Linked DNA regions of Schizosaccharomyces pombe. The protein of the gene in region 1 interacts with the protein of each later gene in a pairwise test. Each region holds a gene or a part of one and is shown on either strand. Other genes may lie near its edges.

Region 1 (4,060 bases):
AATTAAACTATCACTATTTTTTTTAACTATCATAATGATACCAATGTCACTCACTCTTTTGCCATACTAACATCGCCTCAGGAATCAGGGCCTTTATTAGATCGGCTGAAAAAAATCATTGATGAAGAAATGGTGAAAGATCGCACACTCAAAAGTAAAGACCAGTTTAGGGCTGCTCCTTTAATTGCAGGTGCCGTAGATAGGTAAGCTTACGACTTAATAATGGTTTTTTTTCTTTTCTTTTTGGAAACTCAGTCTAACCCATAAGATCTTCATTGTATGAAGATAGCATGGAACACATCCGAAGCAATGTTTTATCTGATCAAGATTTGAGGGAAGTTATTTATAATTCTCTTGAACAAATAGGGATTGAACAAATAGAGCATGAGGATGAAGAAAAATTGCTGAATAGTAAAACCATGGATGGGCGCAAATGAAGATAATTAGCTACTTAAAAGTTTGAAAAAGTTTTGTTATTGATTACTTCTAAATTGCATATACTGAACATACTTATTACAATTAAGAATTGTACTCTCGGGAATTTTACCAGCAATCACATTAGGTTGCATAAGAAGTGAATTAAAAGTTATAACATTTAATGATGCTGAAGGAGATAATAAATGGACTCTCAGAAGAACAACCACAATTCTTTCAGATTCGGATCTCTATTACTGCTGATTATTAGTACATTCATTTGTGATGCCAATGTTTCAAAAAAAATAAAAAAATGTGAGAGTATGTAGAGATCAGGTGTGAAGGACGACAGAAGTTAAGATTATATATCCATTTAGGATAATTATATTAATGCAGTAATGAATAAAAGAGACCAAGTAGCACTTGGTTTTCTCATCAATAAAATATTTAATCATTATGAGTGTTGATAAATAAAGTTAGGGAGGCATGCTTGTTTAATTCAATCATCAGGCAACAGCAAATGTCAAAGAGCCTGTGTTCCCATAATCTTCTGCCATGCTCATAAAGACTAAATATAATATGATCATTATGTTACGATGGTCATTAAAGGAAGAACTTGAGGACGTAAAAGACAATTAGTAACCATACTGAAAATAACAGTTTACTCAGATGCATCGTCTTTTACCGTTGCATTTCGTAGAAGGTCATTTAGACTTTCGTCACCTTCTTCAACAGGAGCCTCCAAATCATGATATTTTCTACATATAAAGCAACTGAAGTATGGGTGACTTTCGTTTAGGGTTGGGCGTATGCATTTATAGTGATAAGAGTGAGAACAAGGTGCAACGAACAATGCTTGACAAGGTAAAACAGGCATAAGACATATACAACATTCCGGAGGACCCGATTCAGAAGATCCGCATAACACCAGTTCTTGCATTCTTTTGAATTCGTTAAGGTTGTAAGGACTAAGCTTAATTTTCCAAGAGTTGTTTAGCTCAACTCGGGCACGAACACAACGATAGTTGACTTCATGACCTCCTCTATAATCCGCCCCAAGTTGTAATATGTCGTTGTTCGAGATGGGATAAGGCTTACTCGTTTTTGACGGCGGTGATAAACGAACATGGTTCAAAAATGTACCAGAACTAGAACCCATATCTTGAATGTACCAAGTATTGTTTTCATAAAATATTTGTGCATGCCTTCTACTCACAACTTTGGAACGGAAGACAATAGCAGAAACATCACCGCCGTTGTATCGCTCTGTGTATCTTCCTATGTAAATGGGTAGATTATTTTGCTTGCGGTTCCAGTAGCGAACTAACGGATCAAAAGAGAAAGAATGTGCATTGGGACCGACAAAGTTAGTTAAACGAATTGATATTTTATCGTCGTCCTTTTCAGAATCAGTCTCAGCGGCAAGTTCCTGTTCTTTGAGGTATCCCTCAACAGATTTTGTCATTTTTTGGAAAGAAAAGCTTTATTAAAACAATTGAATGGAGGATAGAAAGTTACAAAAAACAAATAAATTAATGTTAAAAGCTTTTGAAAATTGTCTTCCGTATACCAATTTGATGTTATCCAAGAAAAAGTTCAAAGAAATATGCCTTCCTTCTAGTAAATTGAAGATAAGGTAAGTTTCAAATCTATTGCTAACAAAATACGAAAGTATATGGGGTTGTTGTGTTTATGTATTAAAGTTTGGAAGCAACAAGAGACAAAAACGAAAACAAAGGCCTCAAAAACAAACAAACTGTTGAAAGCTAAGGAAGGACAGCAAACAGAACTCTTAACTGAATTGCACACTTTAATTCCGAAAAGAAACACTTTTAATAATCAACCAGAATTTAGCTGTAAATGAAAAGCAATCGAAAAAATGATAGTTTTCGCTGTTATCAGAAAAATATGTTATAAATTATGAAGCCAATTTAGTAGAACAAGTAAATTGCACACAGTAAACGGTCAAATGGTGCTGCAAACGAATACAGTTAATGCTATGCCGCCTCGAAAGGCGCATGACTAATTCGGTATCCAACTTACGGTACAACACAATGTTTTCTTCGGTATAGTAATTGTGCATTAAATAAAACAAAACAAATAATAAAAACAAATAAAAAACTAGATGCGTCGCATAAACAATGACGATGATGGTATTTTGTCTATCTTTGTCTCACCATACAGATGGACTTAAGCAACACCGTTTTTATGTTGAATAATTTATTGTTTTAGTATAATTTAGAATTTAGCTGAAAATCCATCAAACAAAAAGTAAGTTGAAATGAGTAGTTCCGAAAATATCTTTAGCATTTCTATTTTTATAGATTTGGACTTGAGTCATTTCATGGTATATATCCCTTTCCGATCACGGTAGACAATTGTGAAATTACTTGCTTTTAATAGACTATATTAGAAAACTAGAACGAAACTAAATGAAATACAAGGATTTATGATAATTCTATGAAAATGAAAAGATAGACAGGTCAAAACTTCAAAGCAAATGAAGCCTTTGTAGTAGCAAATGCCGAGTAATTTTAGGGACTGTGACTTTGAGTTTGCGATTCCAAATCATAATCAGACATGAAAGGTAAAGAATCAGAACGAGTTTGGTCATACTTTTCATTGGAAGAAGTGAAACGATGGAAAATCTTCCAACGGGACGGAGATGTCTTAGAAAACGGAGATGAAAATACCCGTCGACCAGTGCGGGAGACACGAGCGGCAGGCTTCAAAGCATAGCCAAATATAAAATATACAACAATGAAAAACGTCAAAAAACCAAGAAATGTAAAAATGGCCCAGTGATGCAACATATAGAATACAAATCCAGCGTCACTATCGTGCCATGATGAACCTTCATAAATTTCAAAAAATGCATGGTGGCTCTTTTCATACAATTCGGGAACCATCACCCAAATATGATGCCAAGCTTCGGCATCTGGAAGCTTCCGCCAAGCACTCCATATTATCGACAAGAACAATGGACCAGTCGAATACATTACGGTTAGGTAAGGGAAGTGGTAATTAAACGCGAATCTAGGTAGGTTTCTGACCACCTGTAAAAGAAATGGATGCCCTTTAGCAAATCCCATTACATTATTGCTAATCCCACTTGGGGAAGTTCTCCTCACCCATGCTGGATAATGCAATAAGGGATCAAGGGTTCGATTACAACCAACATCCAAATCCAAATATATTCCACCGTATTTGTAAAGAATAAAGTATCGAACGACATCAGCCCGTTCAATATTGTAAGGATAAGAATCATATTGAGTCAAAAACCAAGGATAATCAGTAGCAATAAACTCCCTCATGGATTCATCAGTCCACAATACATATTCATAATCAGGATGTAGATCAATGCAACTTTTCTGGGCACCAACCCATTTTTCCGGAATTTCGTTGGTTTTCCAAGTCTGATGTATAATTTTAGGAATAGCAGCAGACTGGTTTGAATAAATTTCATGATTATAAACGTCATCAACTTTAAGAAGGTCTGTCTTATAATTAATAAAGAACAGCATCATTGGACCTCCAAAAAGATAAACAGTAGCGGAAAGAATTAGTGTCAAAAAGAAAAAAAAGTAAAAAAGTATTTTGTTCATGGTGGCATCAAATATACGCTTCCAGCGAAATAAAATCAGGT
Region 2 (5,236 bases), on another chromosome or scaffold:
TTCCAACTTCCGTTATGCAGAACTTTATGAACAACTTGAGTGGTGGTAGCAACAAGGAGGGAGGCGAAAAGTCTAATGACTTTTTGAGCTCTGCTTTGGGTGCAGAAAAGCAAGTGAAACAGGCTCAGACCATGAAGAAAATCAGCGATATGTTTCCTGGTAGCACCAGCGAGAAACTTGCTATTTTGAACAAGATCAACAGTGCAAGTGGTGGTCGTGTTTTGGAAACTCTCGGTGAAATTGAAAACTCATCCTCCTCACAAGATGAAATTATCACCAAGTTGAAGGGTTTTTTGAAGTAGATGTCTGCAGCGGATAATCATGGGAGACGACTAAGACGAGGCCGTGCCTCTCCTTTTTTTCTAACAAAAGAAAGGCAAAACGTATGTATATCGTTAACTTTTCTGCACTGTATCGCCGATGTCACTTTCTGTGGACTATTTGTCGCTTCCATGTTACGTTAGTACATATCAATGTTTCTCTTTAAAAATAAATTGACGAGTTTTATGACTTTTTACATCTCTCAATATTTTTTTAGTGAAATGGTCTATTTTTTGTAATGCTGATAATGTGCAGTAGAAGTAAATTGAGCATAATGTATAATGTATTGTGAATTTCGTTCTGCAATCACTTGTAACATTTCTAGCTTTGTAAACACTCGAAGTTTATTAACCACACATGTCATCTACAATACACTAAAACCACAGAAAAAAAGTATTATATTAATAAACAATGAAACCCCTAATATCAATAATATTTTTTCTCAGGAAATGCTAGTAACACTTTCTGAAAACGATGCATAATACTCAAGCATATCTCGGGTTATGGCTTTCCGCAATGCCAATAATGCTGTTTTAAAGTGAGCTTGACATATTTCTTTCGCTTCCAAATCCTCGTGCATAGCTATCAGACCAGCTTCCTGACAAAGAGCCACGACTTCCGCTCCTGAGCATCCTTCCGTTTTTTCCGCAATCAAATCCAAGTCTACATCCTCTGCAAACTTCATTTTTTCAGCTTGTATCTTCACAATTTGCTTTCTTGCTTCAAAATTTGGTGGTCCAACGTAAAGCAAGCGATCCAAGCGACCTGGTCGCATAAGTGCCGGATCAATCATATCAGGGCGGTTTGTAGCAGCAAGCACAAGTACATTCCTAAGCGCTTCAATCCCATCTAATTCATTCAGTAAAGCTGCAACTACCCGGTCGCTACTATTGTCTTCTCCTCGATTCGCAGTCAAAGCATCTATTTCATCAAAAAATATAACTGATGGACTGGCTTGTCTTGCTTTTTGAAAAACTTGCCTAACGGCTCGTTCACTTTCACCAACGAACTTATCAAATAGTTCTGGTCCTTTGACAGCAATAAAATTCAATCCAGTCTCTGTTGCGATGGCTTTGGCCGTGATTGTTTTTGAACAACCAGGAGGCCCGTAAAGAAGTACGCCTTTCGGAGGTCGAACACCCAATCGTGAGAAGGTTTCGCCATGAGTTAAAGGCCATTCTACTGATTCTTTTAGTTTCTGTTTCACCTCTTCTTGTCCTCCAATATCTGACCAATGTACATTGGGCGATTCCATCATAAACTCTCTCATAGCACTTTGTCGGACAGACGATAAAGCAAACTCCAAATCGTCCATCTGCACCGCACCGAAAATGTCTAATCCCGAAGTGTCCTTTTGTAGTGAAATTGTCCTTTTTATAGCTCTTAAAGCAGCCTCACGAACAACAGCTGCTAGGTCTGCACCAACATAAGCGTGCGTTCGTGAGGCTAGATCTTCCAATTGAGCATCATTAATTTCATTAGGAACACCTGATAACAACAGTTTAATGATATCTAATCGGGCGCTTTTATCAGGAATACCGATTTCGATTTCTTTCTCTAAACGTCCGGGTCGTCGAAGTGCTTCATCAATAGAGTTAGGTCGGTTTGTAGCAGCAATAACAACAACTTTTCCGGCATTAGCCATTCCATCTAATAGAGTCAACAAAGTAGCAACAGCTCTACTCTCCGCTTCACTTACGTCCTCCGTTCGTTTGGGAGCCAGTGCGTCAATTTCGTCTATAAAAATGATTGAAGGTTGATGCGCCCGTGCGTCTTCAAATATTTTTCGAAGCCTAGACTCAGTTTCTCCAAGGTACTTTCCGACCACAGAAGGACCATCGATCGTAAACACTTGTGCATTTGCTTCTGCAGCAACAGCCCGCATAACCATCGTTTTGCCAGTACCTGGAGGACCATATAACAGAACACCCCGAGGAGGCATAATATTAAAAAACTTAAAAAGTTCGGGATTTTGAAACGGAAGTTCTACAATGTCACGAATTTGGGCGATTTGGGCTTGTAAACCACCAATCGACGAAAATGTTACTGCAGAAGGAGGACCGTCGAAGTTTTGAGTCTCTTCACTTCCTTGGTTGTATGCAGACTGAGTTCTGTCTTCATGAGGTAATTTTAATAAATCAGGTGTTTCAATTTCCATACTGGAAGCTGCCGTAAATTTGTAAATACGAGGCTCATCTAAAGACATATCAGAAATTGCTTCTATAAGGTTTGAAGGAGAACGAATGTGAATTTCTTTAACTTTATAAGAGCCGGGAGAAAGCTCATCGAGATCTTCTGTTGCTTTTGGTTCAGATTCATTCACGGAGGGAGAAGATTGAGAGGACCCTACTTCAGTACCCGATTGCGCAGATAAACCTGAATTTATTTCAAAAATTTCCGTAGCCATATTCTCTGAGCTGAGATTTTTGCTACCACTCTTTGCCATATTCATCGGTGATTCACCCATAACAATCATGCCTGGATGAAGATACCTTATTTCTAGCAATTCTTTCCTTATTAAGGACTCTGGTATAGGTTCATTATTGCTACTCAATGAAGCAACAATTTTGATTCCTTCAGCTTCTTTTAAAGGGTGTACATATTGTGAAATGTTAACTCGCTGGAAGGCCTTCAAGTTTGCCCATTTCGCCAATAAAGGACTAATTAATATTTCAAATGGACCTATTCCATTTCCCTTAACTGATTGGGTTATTCCAACAGCTTCACCGCCTTTATGTTTCAAATAAATTACTTGTGACGGAGAAAGCTTAAGACGATTCAAAGCAGCAGGACTTAAGAATACGTGTCGAGTTTGCTGCCTTCTTAAAGAGCCATCGTTTATTTTAACAGTGAACTTAATAGCCACAGACATTAAATTCCTAGTATGGAACAAAATTTAATTTTTGGTTTTTGTCAAGCCCTGTTTCATAAATACTGTACTACGTTCGGCTGTCCTAAATGTGTTCTTAATTACAAATAACTGAATATCAAATGTAAAAAGTTTTTGGAATTAACATTTAGTTAACAATGATTGTTTCTATTACGAGTTCTTTATTTTAATTTGAGAATCGATATTGAAACACTATAGTACCGTATGAAAAAACGAATAAATATCCAAATCACTAAAACTGAATTCGTGAATAAACTATATAATGCTAGAACGTTTTTTTTTGTCTTAGGAATTTGGTTAACTATTTGTGCATTTAGAATATCGTGTGTTTTTTGCTACAGCTAACTCCAGAAAAGGAAACATAGGAGTAGATCCCATTCTAACTTAGGTCACTTCACTTGTTCCAACAGAATAAACATATACTGCATTTCTATGTCAGTAATCATTAATTACAAGGATTGCTATCACATAAAACATTTGTTTATTGATATTGTGTCGAATCGAATTGTTATTTAAGGTTAGGTTGAAAAGGTACGTATATGAGAAACAAAATAATTATTTTTATTGTAAAGCTTTTTTTTTTTTAAAATTAAAACTTTTTTCTATGGCAAATTAAAAAACTCAAGCATTCGGAAGCTTAAAGAGTGCGTTAAATGAACGTTCCAATAAACTTAACATAACCCGAATAATCTCCCTGGATATAAATTCAATCAACGGTACAGTAATAATTATACAAACAAAAATAGGACTCCAAAAGAAAATAAAGGCATGGTAATAAAAAGACTCTGACTTCATGATTGAAATTGGCGAAGACAATCATTAGCTAAGATATAGTTGATTTTACTCAAAATTCACCAATCCAAAAAAATGAAGAAATCTTTTTCTAACCCGTAAACATCATCATAATTCTTTTTTTTTAGATTTTCCATAATAGAAGTTGTGGCATCTTCTGAAAAGAGAATGGTTTAGACCACAACGTTCATGCTTAATGTTTGATGAATGCATAAACATATTAGAATTAGAAAACAATAAGTGAAAACAAAACCCAATAAAGTTTATAAAATAACAGAATAAAAAATAAAAACAAAAATCTTCCGTGCATTTGCGTGGTCACGTTCGCGCCCGAAAGATATGAAATAAGTAGTAAATAAATTCCTTCATGGTTAAACGTATGGCAGAATTAAGAAATCAGCTTATACATATTAGAAATATAAAACCATCAAAGGGTAGATGAAATAACCAATTACTGGCAATGCATGGGTGGTATGCACTACTTAGTTGTAGACGATATCCAAACCATTCAAATGAAAAACACAAAGCGGCGAAAAAGTTTTCAATATTAATTAATTGGCAAAGAGCGTTTGCGTTAAGGAAATAATTTCAAAGAATGGAAAGGAATATGGCACAAGTAGTACTATATTCCCAAAAACATTACACTTAAGTATAATAGGAAAAACGATAAACAACATTAGCGAACAAAGAATGATTCGATAACAAAGGACATTAAAAAATGAAGCGAATACGTATTAATTCACAAACACAATAACAACCATGACGACAAATGTGAATATATACAAAGACATATAAAGCGAAGGGCACTTATGTCTAACGTCAGTATTTTTTAACGAAGGACTAATTGAAGCGCAATTCCCCTTGACGAGGGAACAACGATTGCTGAAGACGAGGGTAATTACCAGGGAACACCTGGGGAAGTTTAGATGATAGACGAGGTAAGCCATAGTCAGCTCCGGCGGTATGATTCATTAACTGGGTAGTGTAGGGATATGCAGGCATAGTTAATTTTCCGGCGGGAACCTCACGACGAAGTAAAGACGAAGATGGGTTGAGAAGAGAGGAGTTATTCAAACTCGCTGACTTTGCCAAAGTGGGATTTACAAGCGAAGAGGTATCTAAAACGGGAGCTCCAGACTTGATATCATCACTACGAGAAATTTGGTATAAATTACCCTTCAAGGGAAGAGAAGCAGTGCCCAGGGGTATGTGCGAAGGGTATGAAGGGTACGC

Evidence for each region. The genes of interacting proteins can lie anywhere in the genome.
Region 2: the proteins of dma1 (region 1) and SPOM_SPBC56F2.07C interact in a two-hybrid assay, tested with the Schizosaccharomyces pombe proteins (2 studies listed by BioGRID).

The regions. Positions count from the first base shown.
Region 1 is NC_003424.3:2,357,495-2,361,554, forward strand, and holds dma1 (mitotic spindle checkpoint ubiquitin ligase Dma1), read right to left. Parts: upstream 2,378-4,060; 5' UTR 1,880-2,377; coding exon 1,076-1,879; 3' UTR 534-1,075; downstream 1-533. Other genes in the region: Set1C complex subunit Shg1, read left to right, coding at 82-203, 269-437; mannosyltransferase Imt3, read right to left, coding at 2,949-4,019. UniProt on the Schizosaccharomyces pombe protein: Probable E3 ubiquitin-protein ligase which is a component of the spindle assembly checkpoint, required to prevent septum formation and premature exit from mitosis if spindle function is compromised.
Region 2 is NC_003423.3:4,098,538-4,103,773, reverse strand, and holds SPOM_SPBC56F2.07C (ribosome biogenesis factor recycling AAA family ATPase), read right to left. Parts: upstream 3,237-5,236; 5' UTR 3,194-3,236; coding exon 764-3,193; 3' UTR 550-763; downstream 1-549. Other genes in the region: protein tam13, read left to right, coding at 15-302; puf1 (RNA-binding protein), read right to left, coding at 4,844-5,236. UniProt on the Schizosaccharomyces pombe protein: ATP-dependent chaperone which uses the energy provided by ATP hydrolysis to generate mechanical force to disassemble protein complexes.